Arabidopsis thaliana: one gene and its partners. The protein of the gene in region 2 interacts with the protein of the main gene of each other region in a pairwise test. Each region holds a gene or a part of one and is shown on either strand. Other genes may lie near its edges.

The links. Proteins that work in one complex are often made in the same cells at the same time.
Region 1: the proteins of AN (region 2) and WAVH2 interact in a two-hybrid assay, tested with the Arabidopsis thaliana proteins (one large-scale study listed by BioGRID).
Region 3: the proteins of AN (region 2) and TDP1 interact in a two-hybrid assay, tested with the Arabidopsis thaliana proteins (one large-scale study listed by BioGRID).

Annotation. Positions count from the first base shown.
Region 1 is NC_003076.8:26,259,307-26,264,671, reverse strand, and holds WAVH2 (Zinc finger (C3HC4-type RING finger) family protein), read right to left. Parts: upstream 3,537-5,365; 5' UTR 3,201-3,536; coding exon 2,799-3,200; intron 2,720-2,798; coding exon 968-2,719; 3' UTR 502-967; downstream 1-501. UniProt on the Arabidopsis thaliana protein: Probable E3 ubiquitin-protein ligase involved in the regulation of root growth. Acts as a positive regulator of root gravitropism.
Region 2 is NC_003070.9:185,603-190,991, reverse strand, and holds AN (NAD(P)-binding Rossmann-fold superfamily protein), read right to left. Parts: upstream 3,848-5,389; 5' UTR 3,758-3,847; coding exon 3,170-3,757; intron 2,982-3,169; coding exon 2,816-2,981; intron 2,709-2,815; coding exon 2,578-2,708; intron 2,464-2,577; coding exon 1,672-2,463; intron 1,576-1,671; coding exon 1,528-1,575; intron 1,431-1,527; coding exon 1,317-1,430; intron 1,228-1,316; coding exon 1,156-1,227; 3' UTR 520-1,155; downstream 1-519. Other genes in the region: ASG4 (Homeodomain-like superfamily protein), read right to left, coding at 1-51, 164-396; AT1G01500 (Erythronate-4-phosphate dehydrogenase family protein), read right to left, coding at 4,419-4,652, 4,983-5,389. UniProt on the Arabidopsis thaliana protein: Involved in controlling the equilibrium between tubular and stacked structures in the Golgi complex. Required for cortical microtubules (MTs) arrangement that confers cell shape.
Region 3 is NC_003076.8:4,925,349-4,931,520, forward strand, and holds TDP1 (tyrosyl-DNA phosphodiesterase-like protein), read right to left. Parts: upstream 4,155-6,172; 5' UTR 3,960-4,154; coding exon 3,945-3,959; intron 3,861-3,944; coding exon 3,681-3,860; intron 3,599-3,680; coding exon 3,428-3,598; intron 3,345-3,427; coding exon 3,207-3,344; intron 3,129-3,206; coding exon 3,068-3,128; intron 2,932-3,067; coding exon 2,855-2,931; intron 2,771-2,854; coding exon 2,420-2,770; intron 2,342-2,419; coding exon 2,207-2,341; intron 2,126-2,206; coding exon 1,976-2,125; intron 1,897-1,975; coding exon 1,793-1,896; intron 1,717-1,792; coding exon 1,663-1,716; intron 1,585-1,662; coding exon 1,494-1,584; intron 1,408-1,493; coding exon 1,324-1,407; intron 1,243-1,323; coding exon 1,104-1,242; intron 1,020-1,103; coding exon 952-1,019; 3' UTR 502-951; downstream 1-501. Other genes in the region: AT5G15180 (Peroxidase superfamily protein), read left to right, coding at 5,213-5,443, 5,528-5,713, 6,037-6,172. UniProt on the Arabidopsis thaliana protein: DNA repair enzyme that can remove a variety of covalent adducts from DNA through hydrolysis of a 3'-phosphodiester bond, giving rise to DNA with a free 3' phosphate.

The sequences.
Region 1 (5,365 bases), on a different chromosome or scaffold from region 2:
TTGACATTAACATTGTCCATATGCAATATGTAACTGCGTGATGAATGATAGCTTAGTTTTTTTTTTTGTGAAAAAATAATAGCTTAGTTTTTTTAGTTATGATTTGACCATATATATAGTTCGAGATTCTTCTGCCACTGATCATTTTAGTGAATCACATCGAGAAGTGGACCTTTGACAATAGTTAATCATTTCATCCATTTTAAAAGTATACAAAATCATTGCATTCAAAACAAATTGCAACTTGGCGCTAGCTACATATAATTAGTAAATGTCTTAATGATATAAAATGAATGAATTTAAGCGAGAAGAAAGCTTTGCAACGGCGCATGACCTGGTTTCTACCACGGTGCACCCACCAAACCATTCACCAACAACCAACAAAGACAATCCCCACGCACTATTCAAATCATTCAAACCCGGTGCCTTCTATAACAAAATAGGCTATAATGATGATCACATGACTAATCATGATCATTCATTTGGAAAGATATAATATATTATAGATCCTCTTAAGTTAAACGGCATATGATAATATAAACTTAACTTTTGATTTTGAAGTCCAGCATTACAAGCACACTCTCTAATCCACTATACCTCAACTTTTAATTCTATATAGTACACAAAAAAAGCAGACTTCATTTATTTGATCTACAACTTTTTTTAACTATTCAGTCATTAATTTGGAGTTTTTGAAGATTACAAAAAGGAAGAAGAAGATAAAAATGCTAAAAGACCAATTAATTCCTTCTAATGTAGGGTCTCAATCTCTCTGCAATACAAAAGGCCACACCCGTCGGCTACTGCTTGTCGCTATCATGCACCTATGTGGGTCTTTTTCTGAATAATCATACTTCTATTATTTATACCTTACTAAATTATTGCTTATCCTCCTTATATAAATTATGTACCATTATATATTCAAAAATCATTGAAATCGAATTTTCGAAAAAAAGGGAAATTAAAATTAAAATCTGGCGTTTTCCAAGCCGTGCATATCGCTGACTCGATTTAAATGCTTCCTCATAATAGCCACTTTAGCTAATTTCTCGGCGGCTCTCCAAGCCGAAGTAGGGGTAAGCTGCTCCGGTTTATCTTCAGTTCGGTTTAATATACTATTTCTCGGTTTAATCCGGCTAAGTTCATTTAGCTCAACCTCCAAACTCCTTAAACTATCATCCGAATGAGACGCATTGGACCGAGCCGTCGTTAGAACCTGATACGCTCCGGATAAATCCTCACGCTCGATAAGCCGGCGTGAATCCGCTACAGCGCGGCACATGGAGTGTAAATTTCTCAGCCGTTCGATGCTTGAAGATACATATCTGACGGATTGTGGCCGTGGGATCAAAAATCGTTTTTCTTTAGGACATGTCATTGGCTGATGTGTCATTTGGTCAACGATCGACGACTGTACGGACATTACTTGGTGGGAACCACTCGACGAAGTCGGCACTTTGAGCTCAACGAGAAACTCTCTCTCCTCCTCCGCAAACAAATCTCCGACTTGGATGACAGAACCGGATCCGAAATTCTCGAGTCGACCGGTTAAAGAGTAAACCGATGAAATCTCAGTCAAATGAGATCCGTTGACCAAACTGAGATTTAGCTTCACGTTATGGAGAGTCACGTTGAGCAACGAAGCGATTCTTTCGGTGAACGCGTCTCGTAGCGGCGCGTGAAGCAACGCTCCAGGAGAAGCAATGTAAACGGAATGAACCGGGATCTCCGGACGAGAGAAACGCGTGGTAGACACGACGAACGGAATGCGCGTTGCGTTTAGTTTAGCTTTCAAAACTGCCTCCGGTTGATCTTGACCGTCCGATAAAACAAAGATGCTCGTTGACGGATTCTTCTCCCGCCGATCTTCAACGACTTTAACCGCTTTCTTCAACGCGTCGTTAACGCTCATTCCAACTCCGCCGGTGGTTTCCATTCCGCCGAGTGCGTCGACCATTCGCCGCGCCGATCGTCTTCCTTTCGCCGTCATTCGTCGTAACGGCATTAACCGTTTTGACCCCGTCGAGAAAACGACGATCGATAAACGATCCATTTCTCGGAGAAGAGAGATCACCGATCTCATCGCGTGTTTAACCGTTTGCAAATTAGCACCGCCGTTGCTTAAATCGAGAACCGTTACCAGATCTATCGATGGTCTTCGCGCCTTAATCGCATCGGTGATGGACGACGGCGACGGAGACGCTTTTAGTTTCATGATGACGACGTGTGTCTCCTTCTTTTTCCCGGTTTCCACAACGGCAGATTCCGGCAGCAACTTAACCTCCAGATTTCCTGAGATTGAAGGAACCATATCAGACGTAATCGAAGAATCTCGGAAGAATCCGGGGAAGTCATCGTCATCTTCAACGTCGTCGTTTTCGTCTGATTCATGTATAGTGTTGATCTGAGCAAGAGAAACCGGCGAATAAGCTAACGGCTCATCGTCGTTGTACACTCTCAGTGACTTCCCCGTTTTGATCTCTCGGATCTCGGGTCGTCTAATCGGGTCGGATCCGAAGTTATTATTAACAGCCGGATAATTCGACTTTGGCGCGTGATTCCATGCGGCAGAGCAAAACGGACAACGCTTGTCTTCTAATCCATTGACGCAAGAAAGGTGAAACGAATGTGAACACTCCGCCGTGAAAATTGCCGCCGTCGAGTTGCTTTGATTTGAATTCACTCTCTGCAAACAAATCGCACATCTACTACTATTACTCTGCATCCACACACACACAAAACGGAGCTTTAGATTATGTCTTTCAAATTAAGAACTTGATTGAATCAAAAGTAACTACCTTGTTGAGAAGAAGCGTGGCACGGAGGAGAGAGACGCCGCCGCCGCCTTGAGAGGAAGAAGAAGATGATGATTTAGGAGAAGAAGGGTTAGAGAAAAACTTGGGACTTGAGCTGTTACTAGTCCTTGGAGTAGCATTGCTCGTAGTCCTGCAATGGAGTTTGGGACTAGTTGGAAGAGATGGGATAGTGACTGATGTGGAAGCTGAGGAGCGGCATCCAGTGCCGCTTCCGCCGCGTGATCGGAGACGAGGAGTTGAAGGGTTGGATAAAAAACCAAACTTTGATCGGAATCTTGGTGTGGGAATTGGAGGATCAGTAGTGTGTAATGATGAATGTTGTTGAGGTTTATCTTGATTACTTGAAACGGAAGTGCAAAACGCTTTTCTCCAACCAAACACCATTTCCTGTGAGAAAGAAATAAGAAGAGAAGCTCTCTTTTTTTCTATATTATTCTTCTTCTTCTTCTTCTTCTATTTGTGGAAGTAATTATAGAGAAGAAGAAGAAGGACTTTGGGCATAATGGATCATAAGGAAGATGGAGAAATTAAATACTAAGATAAAGACTATAGAGAGATTTCTTTTTCTTTAGTGATGTTTCGATAAAGACATTTTTTTTTATGTTATTTTAAGTTGTAGGAATATTATAAGGTAAAAATTGTGACTTTTATGCGTGTGAATTGGCTTTTGTTTCCATTTGCATGTAATTGTTTTGCCTCGAAGAAAATAATCACTGATCCGTTAAGTCCTTCTTTTTTTTGGGTCAATTTTGCTATTTTTTTTACATATTTCAAGTGTTGTTTCATTGGGATGGACGATAAAGTTAAAAGTCAACGGTAATAACCGACCATATGCAAAATGAGATTTCAAATAACTTGAGACGCGGAGATCTTTGTTTTCCATTTGCATGTAAAATCTTTCTTTTCAAAATATTAAACAGTTTATTAGATTGTCTAATGTGGATTCCTCTTGAATGTTCCACAATGTGGTTCGATTATATAAATCATTTCCAATCTTATCGGATTCTTCGAAATGCAGATTGTGATGGAGTGTAAGGTCAAACATGTGGGCACGTGACGTTACAGTCTGAGCAATAAACGGTAAGCTTATTTTCCTTACGAAATATAAATGATACTAAAACACGTTGTATTCGAGTTATCTTCATGATTGTGAATTGAGTTGTATATTTAATTGATAGTTGCTTACGTAATTACATACTGGCTGGAGCGAGGAATTTAACCTAAAGTTTTGGGTTTGGAATTTTGTAAAAGGTCTTTGATGGAGAAAGGTCGAAAAGTTTTTTTTTTTCATTTATTTACCAACAAAATGATTTATAATATATGGTGACGACAAGAGCTAATGATATGACATAAAGATTAGACTGGTCCAGGTCCAGCAAATTTTGAATTCTTCTTGCTATTGCAAAAAAATTGATGGTTTTGGTCTGATTTTGATTTCGACACTTCTATTATTTTGATTTGACAACCTTTTAGATTGGCTGATCAAGTGCTCGAGATAATTAGTGTCCTAAATCAAAGGTATTAACTCCAAAATACAAATTACTGCAATTTGTGGCCTCTAGTATCTTGCAGTTATGCTGAAGAGCCACATGAATGAATGAAACAATAAATGGGTGGGTACATATATGATAAGGGGGCTGCTAAACAAAATTGTAGTTAAGCATTTGTAAATGGTTTGGTAGGTTTTTTAAGTGGCTGCCATTGTAGAGACAACACATGACTTCGTGCGTGCATGCCATGGAATCATTGATTATCAACCAAAAAATGAAAATATTAGTTAGTTAATCTTGTTAAGAATGTAATGACTTATATTATACGAATAGCTTTACACAAGTATATATACAAGTACAGAGGAGGTTACACTAGGGTTGTACAAATATAGAATGTTCCATAAAGGAGACAGAGGAATATTATGATATTAAAGAGAGATGATCCTATGTATCCTTAACACGCCCCCTCAAGATGGAGGGGCTATGCACACTCCAATCTTGTCTCGAAGTTCCGTGAAGTGATTTCGAGGAAGCGGTTTTGTTAATGCATCAGCGAGTTGGTCTCTAGTGTTGACGTGAGCCACACGAAGAATGCCTTGCTGAACTTGTCCACGAATAAAGTGATAGTCTATGGCTATGTGCTTCATCCTGGAATGGAAAACCGGGTTTGCGCAAAGGAAAGTAGCACCCACATTATCACAATAGACCACAGGCGGTTTGGGAAGTGTGATCCCAAGCTCCGTGAGAAGGCTGCATATCCACTGGATTTCACAAGCAGTATTTGCCACCGATCGATATTCAGCTTCTGTTGAAGACCTTGCAACGCTCTTTTGTTTCTTGGCAGTCCATGAGATTGGATTTTTCCCGAGGTAAACGATGTAAGCATTTGTTGAAACGCAATCTTCTGAGTCTCCGGCCCAATCTGCATCTGAAAAGGCATGAAGGGAGAGCTCGTTTTGAGCAGCAAAGAAAATGTCGTGAGTCGTAGTTCCAGCCAAATATCTAAGAACTCGTTTTGCAGCTTGCCAATGATCATTGGTTGGTCTGTGCATAAACTGA
Region 2 (5,389 bases):
ACTGTTTTTGATCCAACAAAGGCCTTTATTTTCTTCCAATCCCGGTCAAATCTGCAATCAAATAGACATGATCATATCAGAAGAAGAAGAACAAATCTCAAAGATTCTATATATCATTAATCAGATAAATGAAGGCAGAGAAGTGAAATCCGTGTCAACATACAGATGAAGGGCTTCAAGGAACTTGTCGTGTTCTTGCTCCGTCCAGTTCTCTCTAGATTTGGTGATAGTGTAAGGCTTTCTAACCTTCTTTGTTGGATCCTCAAAAAACGACATCGTCCTATTGCTCCGTATGGAAACCGGTATCGTTGTTGCCGTGTGGGGAAGAGTATTGAAACCCGGTAGACTCATTTTCATAGGCAAACAATGAGCTTGGCTAGGGTTTACAGTCACCATAAAACTCGACAACACACACAAAGTTCCCTTTTGGTTTGAAACAGAGTTTGTGACTTGAGAGACTTGTGTGAGAGTGGTGGTGGTATAAGCGGGAGAGGGAGACAAGGTTAGAAGTGTAATCTCATTCGAAAAATGGATTTAAGCCGAACACGTGTAAGGAGCCGGTTGCTCTGGTTCAGAGCGTGGGACTAACAACTACAAGCCATGTGGACATTCTCCTAACACTCATGCCACGTACAAATTTAAATCCACGGCACATAAATTGCCACGTGGAATACGATCGTAAGCCAGCAATCTTATTTACGAGATAGCTGCCTAGCTGGGGCCTGGTTCGACTAAAAATGAAGGTTACTTTCTTTTGTAGTTTAGCTCAAATTTTAGTTATGTACGATGATGTGTTTTATGTACGATGATCTCTAAAACACAAACGCAGCATATACAAATACAATACACACACCTATTTCAAACTACTAACCAAACACACAATGCTTTCGAGTTCATCACGACCAGACCCAGAAAACAACAACAAACGTCCCTCTAAGACAAGCTCATCGGATGTTTCTGCAAACCGAGAATAAATAAAAAGAAACAATGATTACAGATATAAGTTGGTTGATACCAACTACACAACACACGACACAGTCTCGAAACACAAAAATTGGGTGTCTCTGTTTTTCGTCTGTGAATCCTAAGGATGTTAAAGTAACAAAAGTAATTAAAAGAGAGAAACTCACAAATGGAGAGACTCTGTTTTTCTTTTTAATCGATCCAACGTGTGATACCATCGTCTCCTACCATTGCCAATATCTCCACACGAACGTCCAACACCGCCTGCAACATTCATTACACAAATTATTTCTGTTTTCCAAGAAGTAGGGTTTTTCAATTTCGGGCCATTTTCTGTAAGGACAGAGACTTACAGAGGAATTCCTGCAGTTAACAAGCCGACATTCGTCCAGAGAACCTTCTAGACTCCAACTCTCCCACACGTCAAAACTATGGCTAGCAAACACAAACTCCATTCTTCTATTGATCTGCACACACACACACCCATGACACAACCACTTTTAGATTCCATAAGAGCAACATTGAGTTACCAATGGAAGTAACACTCTCTAATGTAAGAGCTACCTGCAGTAACTTCCCACCAGCAGCAAATGATCTCAGACCAACAGTGTCCTGGAAAACAAGTTCATGCACCAAAACCAATTTATAATGGTCTATCTGGCATTGTAAGCAAGATAAATGAAAAGTAAGAGAGAGAAAAAGGTTTACCTTGTTTCTGTATGCGATAATGAATTGTGCAGCAGGATCTCGTTTGGATACATTGGACAAAGTATCGAGGAACCAGCCACCGTTTTTCGTTCTTTGCCTGGAAACGTGGAGGCCCGAGAGGTCTTTCGCATACAAGGCTACTACATATCCATCTTTCAGTAGCTCACTTGACTTTCCAATGAACTTCTTACTTGACATTACAAGCTGATTTGGGGAAGACTCTTGCATTACTTCAAGAGGTGTTTTCCTACTTCTGGAATCTTCAGGAGAAGCACATCTAGAACTGGAACTTAATACTTCTTCTGTGTCACTCATAGCAATATCATCTCTTCGTGAAGTACTTTCTTCATTTAACCCTGAGGAACCATCCGTTTTTTGCATGTATTTTTGCTGTGAATGTCTCTTTTTGGCTTTCTTACCGGATCTGCTACGTCTTCCTTCAGGTTTTACGGCAGTATTTTGAGAAACGTGTTGCTGACCAGGGCTCAGAGATTCTTTTAACTCACTAGCCTCTCTACGTACGATCTCAGTGCTGGTGAGAGTACTTTCTCCCTGTTGCCTACTGGTGGATTCCACTATTGCTAATTTCTCGTGTTTGCTAGGTGATTGTTCTTCTTCTTCACTTGCTTCACTTTCCTCAACTTCCTCATCAGAAACAGTGTTACTTGGAATTACACCATCTAAGAAAAATGAATGCAAGATAGAGATAGCCTTCTCCCTTATCTCCATCCATACTTCCTCACTGTAATCTGCACTGCGAGGTAGAATTAACACATTTGGCATTTCCTTCACCTGCAATGAAAACAAGATATAATGGATGCAGGATAAACAACAGAAGAAGATGATGAAACAAGAGAATAGGCAGGCGCAAATGTGAAGTTTAGTCACTGGAAAAGAAAGTCATACCCATGCTTCCATCCATTGTGGACCTTCAGCACCGTCAAGGGCGCAGCCAGCTATAGTGCCATCAATTAGAAGTTGTTTCACAGCACAATCATCCAACAGCTGGCAGCTTCCAGTATTTACAAGAAAAGCCCCTAATACATAAAATCAACCAGAATTGAAGGGAATGCGAGAAAGCAGAAGTTCATCTTCAATTCACATTCATGGAGAATCAAATTTCATTTGACAAGAAAACTCATACCAGGTTTTATATGCTGCAAACACTCTGCATTGAGTATCTGAACCGTGTCATTTGTTAATGCACAATGTAGCGAAATGACATCACTTGCTGCTAGAAGATCATTCAATGTATCCATTCTTCGAGCAGCACGTGGGAATCTCGAGGGCCTGATTCGTTCTTCATCTCCCTGAACAGACGCAAACGCAACTATTGACAACAAATATAACATCCAAGGGAGAGGAACTTGAAAGAGAGCCATCATAGTAAGCAGTTTAGGAATGTAGTAGCTAAGAACTCAGCACTTTTTTTGGTCCCTAAAGAGTCAGTTTACACTAAGATATTAAAAGCTTAGCGAGACATTGCCAACAAACATACCTCTGGGACATCGAAGTAGAGCACACTCATCTTGAAAGCCAAGCTTCTACTAGCTAAATACCGAGCCGATACAGATCTGCCAACGATACCCAAAACCATACCACGGCACCGTCTCATTCCCCGGCAAAGAGGCTGAAGCGATCCGAGCCAACCAGACGCCGATAGAGCGTGTCGCGAGAGTAAATGCGTCCGTCGAAGGAGTCCAAGGATGAGCGCCATGACGGTATCCGCGATTTCCTCGGCTCGTGAAGTATCTACATGGACAAGTCGGAGACCTAGGTCGGCGGCGAGAGTCGAATCGACAGCGCGATCAGCAGAGCCAAGGCAGAGAATGAGCTGGTGAGGACGGAGTCGGCGTTGAGCTGCTCGTGGAAGATACGCGAGGGAATGGAGGAGAACGGCGGTGGCGGACTCGATCTTACCATCGGCGATGCGGCTGAGCGGGACGTATTCGACACCAGCAACGCCGGCGAGGGAGTCTTGCTCGAGCGCACAATCCTCTATACAGTTGAGTGTAACGACGTGAGGCGACGCCGGTGACGGCTGGTCGCGATGTGGCATTGTCGCAGACGAACGGATCTTGCTCATCTCCTCCTTCTTCTCGCTACTCTCGAGGAGTGAAATTTTGATTTTGGGAACATAATGATTTAGGGTTCAATGTTGTAAACTCTTACAAAATTAAGGGGCTAAATTTCATTTATAATAATTTTCAGGGCCCAAAATACAATTTAAACAAATTGACAATAATTTTTTAGTCCAATGCTCATGCTCCCCCGATAAGACGTCATCGGTTTGACATTTATGATAAACGACGCCGTCTTCCACTTGGCTTGTTGTAATAATTTAATTTACTAATTGCAAACAGATACTGAATACAGGTGAAACATGTACATTCCCTATTCCACATTATTTCCTGACCAGAAACCGAAAGACAAACTCCAGCGTTTGACAACAACAACAATAACACGAAATCTCTTTCTACACAAGAGCAACGACATAGACAGACTTGAGAAAAGAAAGAACAAAAGAACATGACTGGAGCAAGATGGGAACTCTCTTTTGTGCTACTAAAGTATATGAACAGAGCCGAATATATATATATATTCAAAAGGACACAAACAGGTGAAAACCAAAAGCTCTATACATCTATCTACCAAAATTCTATCTCTTTTATAACCCACTACGTTACCGACATTCTTAGTAGATCTCGAAATGTCTAAGTGGGTTTTTAGTTTATGGTAGGTGATGATCAGAGAAACCTCCTACGAAGGTTACTAGTTGTTGCTTGATACGAACGCATGAGTAATCCAACTCCAATGCCTACACCAAGACACATCCCAAGGCCTATCCCAACTCCGACTCTGACTCCTGCATTGAACCATGAGAGCTGACCATCCTCATCAACGTACATTCCTTCAGGGTAATATCTCTGTGCCATTTTCATATCTGAGTCATCGTATTCATCAACTTCTGATTCCATCATCTGCATAAACGAAACGACAAACAAGATAAAGCACCAAAAAAAGTGCAAAGAGAGTCTATTGACCTATATCCATATCTCAATTTCTGATCAGTCAACAATTCTACAATTTTCAAATTCAGCTGTAGAGTCAAAGAAAACATTCAAGCAGGAGCTAAATTCACCAGAAACTTGCGAGTGATCTTAATAACTAAATATCTGCTACAGCATTCATAACTCACAAAACTAGACGAAAGAAGCAACCTTTTCAAATCTCAATCCCAAGTTATTAAGAATCGTAACTTAAGGGCTTGGACAATCACCAAACAGAGAATTGTGAAATCAGAATCATACCTGTACTTTGCTTTGACGGGCCAATTCATCACCAATGGTACCAATGTCTTGCTCTTTGCCAACTTCCTCATCCTCAGGGATAGCGTCGAGTGTCACGTGCCTAGCCACCTTCCTCCTCGGACTCGCCTGAATCGTCTTGGTCAATATCACCGGGACACCACCACAACAACCAGCTATATAAACCTCGACGGACGGAGACGAGACTCCAAACTTTGGCTGGAAAAACACAGAGGCAGAAGGACCTGACACGTGTCCGTTTCCCATAGCAATGTAACAATCCATGCCCCATCCAGTCTTGGGATCACTCACAGTTCCATTGTTCCAAGCACCTTCGATTCTATCTAGGTTCCCACACAAGACCATATCCTCGTTATCATAAACCTCGAAATCAACGCATCCGGTAACGC
Region 3 (6,172 bases), on a different chromosome or scaffold from region 2:
AATGGTCAGAAGAAAGATCGTTCTTAATCAATATCATAATTGTGATTGGCTCTTCTCAAGATTCGAGGACTAAATTGCATATCAAAAACTAGTAGCAAATAACTTATGAATGTTATTATCTTAAAATAATTGATAGATATGATAAAAGGCCAAATCATCAAAGAGAGGGACGGGTGTTCTTGGCAATGTAGACATTGATTGTGAATCCTTGTCTGCATCTGTTTGTATTCTAAATGTCTATCGAATATAAACCACCAAAATTTCTTCTTCATTTTTGTTTTCGTTCTTGATTTTCTGTCTCGAATTAAAATCGTAGGTTTCTCACTTTCTTGTAACCAACGACACACTTCTGTCATAATAATATGAAAAAATACCTTATGTCTCCAATTTCTATGTCTATTGTTTTGTGTTTGTGGTTCGTACTTATCACTTATGCTAATTATGTTTGGACTTTACACTATGCTCTTCAACACATGTGATAGCTTAATCAAATTCAATTTCCTCGGACAAAAGTAAAATGCCAACAAGCAAAAGAATTACAAATTTTTAACATATATATGAGCCACTTGCCTAATTAAACCACTTGCCTAATATGACTTCACATATATACAAAATTAAAAATGAGCCAACCCGTAAAATTCTCTATTTGGCCCACGAGATTTTTAACCTTTCAACCTCGTTGGTACGGCAGACTGAAGCCGACAGGTCAATTTTCTTTCACATACTAAAAATTAAAAGAACTTTATCAATACTAATCCTATCCATTGGTGGACTAATCCGGATTAATCCACAGACTTCAATCAGTTTCACACTAATTTTTGTTTATCCGTCTGGTTGTTCATCGCTTAGCATTAAATTAAAGATTATAAAGTCTTCAATATCTGAGTGAGTAAAACCCATAAAGCCACTCTCTCAAGTCTCAAGTCATAGAGCTACTAAAGCTATCATCAACTATCTTGGCCAGACTTGTCCATACACATCTTTCTTCGAGTAGCCTCGGTCCCATGACCATGGAACATCTGAAAATCACAATGCCAGTAAAAACGTTAATAACTTGAGAAAGAAAGAAGTTATATTTGCTGGATAATGAATAGGGAAAATACCTTCGGGTGAGTATGGCTTAGGAGGTAGTTGATAAGGAACTGGTAATGAGATTATCTCAGGCAAATCTCGGTCTCCTTGCCAGGTCATTGTCACTAGCTTACTCCTCTTCTCTACCTCGTCTTTCGTCTCTTGTTTTGCCTGTTGACAAAGCACAATTAAGAGGGAAAGATCACAGTTTGTGTCCGGGTTTACAGGTTTTGGAATTTTAGATCTTCTTACCTTCATAACACTCGGGTTGCTCTCAGTGCACGAAAATACACAACCCTGTGTTTTTATTGGAGATGGTAAAAACAAGACGCCCAACTAACAATATTACAGTCAATGGAATGTAGTTAGTGGTTACAAAGATCAGACTTTGATACATGAAAACACAGGTTTTGGAATTTTACCTCGTAGGAACGAATCATCAACTGTGAATTGTTCTTCTGAAGTGCTCCCCAGGCCGCTTTGCTAAGATTCGATGAGGTTAGTAAGAACCATCTGTGGAAGCAAAACAAGAACATTAATCACAAAAGGTACTAACAGAGCAACTACAGATTGAGACTTGATGAACTTTACGCAATCTTCTGGTCGTTGTAACGTGTGAACGTCTTTATATGTGGCATGGCACGACTGTTACATTAAAAAGGATCAGAATTGAGTAGTACTCATAAGTTGGATTTGTAAAGGTTTGGTTTTTCTAAATTACCCGCGAGCGCTATGATCCGCTTTCCATCTAGCCCAATACTTTTTCAAGAATGGTTTCTCCACGTTCTTCAATGGGCTCGGAATTGCATTGCCAGCAGCATAACCCTTTGGTTTGAAGATTTCACGGTTCAGAAGAAAAATCAATAATCTATATAAGAAAAGATGTAATCATTGTGCGGATAACCTCTAAAGAACATCTGACGTCTTCTACTGTAGGCCATATTATCAACGAATCCCCGGGACCGAGAGGAGTTTTGTCCTCTGTTATACCAGAAGACAAAGAATTTCCAAACTCAGCCAACCACTTCTCGTCTAAAGAACCAAGTGAAGAAAACTGCAATACGGAATAATTATAGAAGAAGACTTTTTTACAAGTAATACAATTGCAAAAAGAGAACTTGGAATGGAACATTACCTGATAGATTAGCGGGGATCTGCGGAACTCTCTATCGAAAATGCATTCTTGAAGAATAGTCCGTAGCTTCATGTGTCCCCATTTGTTCAAGTTAAAACCAGTGTGGTATCCAGGGACTGAAGCAATTAGTCGAACCTTAAAATTTGTTGCATATTATTAGTACACAAATAAGTATATAAATCAACCAAAAGAGTTTAGAGAAATAGAAAGTACCGTAGCATCAGAATAATCAAACTTTTTGAAGAAGGCTGCATTGATCTTGACATTACCACGGCCAGGTAAGTTTGCAGTAAACTCAGGCCACTTAAGAACATTGAGGTAATCAATGAGATCACCTTCGAATCCACAACCTTTAGGTGGATCTTTGTCATCATCTTTCCAAGGAAAATCTTGCATCCACAAACCTTGGCTTTTGTTATTCCAATCAACATGGATCAGATTCGCGGTGTGTACTACAACTCTCACCCCTCGAGGATAGACAAGAAATATAGCCTTCGAATGGTGTGTCCCGAATGAAATAGGTAACCGAGGCTTATGAAGAATCCAATTAGCTGGCTTCTTCCTCTGTTAAACAAAACAAATATTGGAGATTTTTAGTCTACCATAAACATCAATCAAAAGAAATGAGCAAAAACTGTCATAACAAACCTGAATATACTCTTGCCTACCATCACCTTCTCCATGAATAACCATAACCTGGGGAATGTTGGCCAGTTTTGGGCAAGCTACAAAAGGATATATGCAAATTACCAACTTCAGCTAACAGACTCGAGAAAATCGAAAAACAACACCCCCATGAATGTAAACAAAAGAACTAATCATTTGGACAAACTCAACACAGAAGATTATGAGAAAACTCACCTGACATCAACCAGTCTATATCAACCATATAATTCGATAAGATCGCAGCAACAACGTCTCCCTGTCATTTACAAATACAATCTTTAGCAATGATATCTGAACAAAACAAATGAAATAATATGCTTAGCATGAGACTAACCTCAATGACATCATTAATGGAAACACAAGAAGTATTAGCCCAATCAGGCAATGCATCAACACTCAAAAGCCGAAATGTTGAAGGTAGTTTCTCATTAGGTGGACAAAAACGACGAATGGCCTCTACATCGTCTTCAGCCTAAAACAGTTCCATCACATCAAACAAAGCCTCAAAGAAACAACAAAAAAAGCAACATTCTTTGGTTAAGCCAAATAAGTTACCTTTCGAGCTTTCTTAGCAGCTCTTCCATTGAGCAAAACTAGCTTGAAGAAATGGTGACCAGGGATCAATTCAATAAGATCATCATTACATACTGAAACCTCTTCACTAGGTTTCACTTTCTTTCTCTCTCCGTCACCGGAAGACCTAATAACAACCGGATTTGTTCCGTCCTACCCAAAAGACACAAACTTGACATGATTCAATTCGATAAGAAGCCAAAGTTATAATTTTTAATGTTGTTATAGTTATTACCACTGACAACGAAGCTGAGCCAGAAGTGGAAACGATAATGGTGATGTGTTTGCGACTGAGACGCTTATCGACGATTGAAACGTTGCCACGGCCAATGATGTTTGGACCTTCGGATAAAGTTATCCTTGGAGATGAATTGTCTTCCTTTAAATCTGCTTTCAATGGAATCAAATAAGCAACCTGCAACAGATACATAAATCAGAGCAAGACATCGAATTTTCTGTAATTGGAAGAAACGGAAATTAGGGTTTTGTTTTGAATTACCTGAGAGTGAGCCATTAAGGAAGACAAGTGTCTGAGGTTGAATTGAACCAAGGAAGAAGAAGAAGATGCAAAACGCTGCGTTTCAGTGAACTAACTAGCGAAAATTTTGGGATGTTTCAATGGAGAATAATGGGCAAGAAATTCATAGTAACGGTAACGGTTCTCCACGCCGGCGGCGACAATCAGACAACCGCATCATCATCAGCCGATGGGTCTTTGGCTTGTGAAGTTGTACAATATATTAATTTAAGAAACATTGTCATCAAAGTCTGGGTGGTGTAGTCGGTTATCACGCTAGTCTCACACACTAGAGGTCCCCGGTTCGAACCCGGGCTCAGACATTTTTTTTTCTTCATTTTTTTCAATTGACACGTGTCCGAACCTTGCCCAAAAATAATAGTATGATTAACATATTTTATCTTCCCATTACGTTGAAATGTTACAATCGAATATTCGAATGAGTGTGATTGGAATTGGATGAACATGCAGATTGTTACGTGGACAAAATAATTGTGATCAAGTCCAAAGATTAAACAATGTAGTTTAACTCCAAAGAGTTTGTAAGATAAAGGATATTGATTATATTATGTTAATCAAATTTTTAAGATGTATTATTTTGTTCTCCTACCGTATTATTGTCACTTTTCAGTTGCGAAGTCAAATGTCACAAGCAATATTGTTCATTGTTAATCCTCCTACCTACCAGTCATTGTCTACGTGTAAATTAGATAGCTATGGACGGCTTGTGTTCCATTCTAATTGTTATACGTATAATATAGTTTTTTCTTGTGGTTTACTTGTCGATTTCAAGTTAGTTATCGACAAATTACCATTATTCGTTATCAAGTGTTTTCTTATTCGTTACAACACCTAGTTGACGAAAAGATCTGAATATTGCCAAATTTCAAAAACTTATTAAGTTTGTGTTGGTTATTTTTTTCATTGTTTAAAATCATTGGCACCCTTTTTCTGGTGTAAATAGTAATAAACATCAACGAAGACGATAAGCCATAAACAAAGGACAGCTATATATATTCCACAAACAACAATATAAAATTCAACAAATTTACAAAAAATTCCTATATCTTTGTCTTTAAAATTCAATGATGTAACCACGAACACTTTGTATTTTTGTATTTCAACCTTAAACTATAGTACTAACAAGTTCCGTGACATTATTACATAAGCACGTTAGTATAAATAACAACAACAATATTAACTCAATTAGTATCATCGATCATCTGTCAAAAAGAGGAGCTAATAATAATATGGCTGCTTTGAAGATGACTATCTCTTGTTTCTTGTTTCTTCAAGTAATATATTGCTTGCTCTCTTCATTTGCTCCAACAAATGTGCAAGGATTGAAAGTTGGATTCTACGACAAGGCATGCCCCAAAGCCGAGCTTATTGTCAAAAAGTCTGTCTTCGAGGCTGTGAAGAATGATCGGACAATTGCAGCTCCTTTGCTCAGGATGTTCTTCCACGATTGCTTCGTTAGGGTAATGTCCTTTCTTGACATCCTGAATTTTCCTTTTAGTCTTTTTGACACCTTGTGATCTAATGATTGAATCATGATGTTTTAGGGATGCGAAGGGTCGGTATTGCTAGAGCTAAAGAACAAAAAAGATGAGAAAAACTCAATTCCTAACCTCACCCTTCGAGGATTTGAGATCATAGACAATGTCAAGGCAGCTCTAGAAAAGGAGTGTCCGGGCATTGTTTCTTGCTCTGATGTATTGGCTCTTGTCGCTAGAGACGCAATGGTTGCGGTAAGTATAAATTCTTACTATCATGTGATCTAATATTTGGTCAGAGCTCACGGTGTCTTTATTACACGCTCCTTGTATTTATTACTACAAAGTTCACATGGCGATTATAGACATCATAAATAGGGTTGGGCGTATTCTTCTATTTTTTTGATGCTACAAAATGCACTTGACTTAAATTTTCAAGAGACTAGTTCAGCTTTCTATCTGAGATTTTCTGACTAATATATTAAAGAAAATATATCCATAAAAAAAATTATGTATTATATGTTGTGTTGAACTTTTAACATCATGTATTTTATGATAACCAATCAATATATGTTCAGCTCAATGGACCGTCGTGGGAGGTTGAAACGGGACGAAGAGACGGTCTGGTTACAAACATCACTGAGGCCTTATTAAACTTACCATCACCATTTAATAATATCAGTAGCCTTATCACTCAATTCCAGTCCAAAGGCC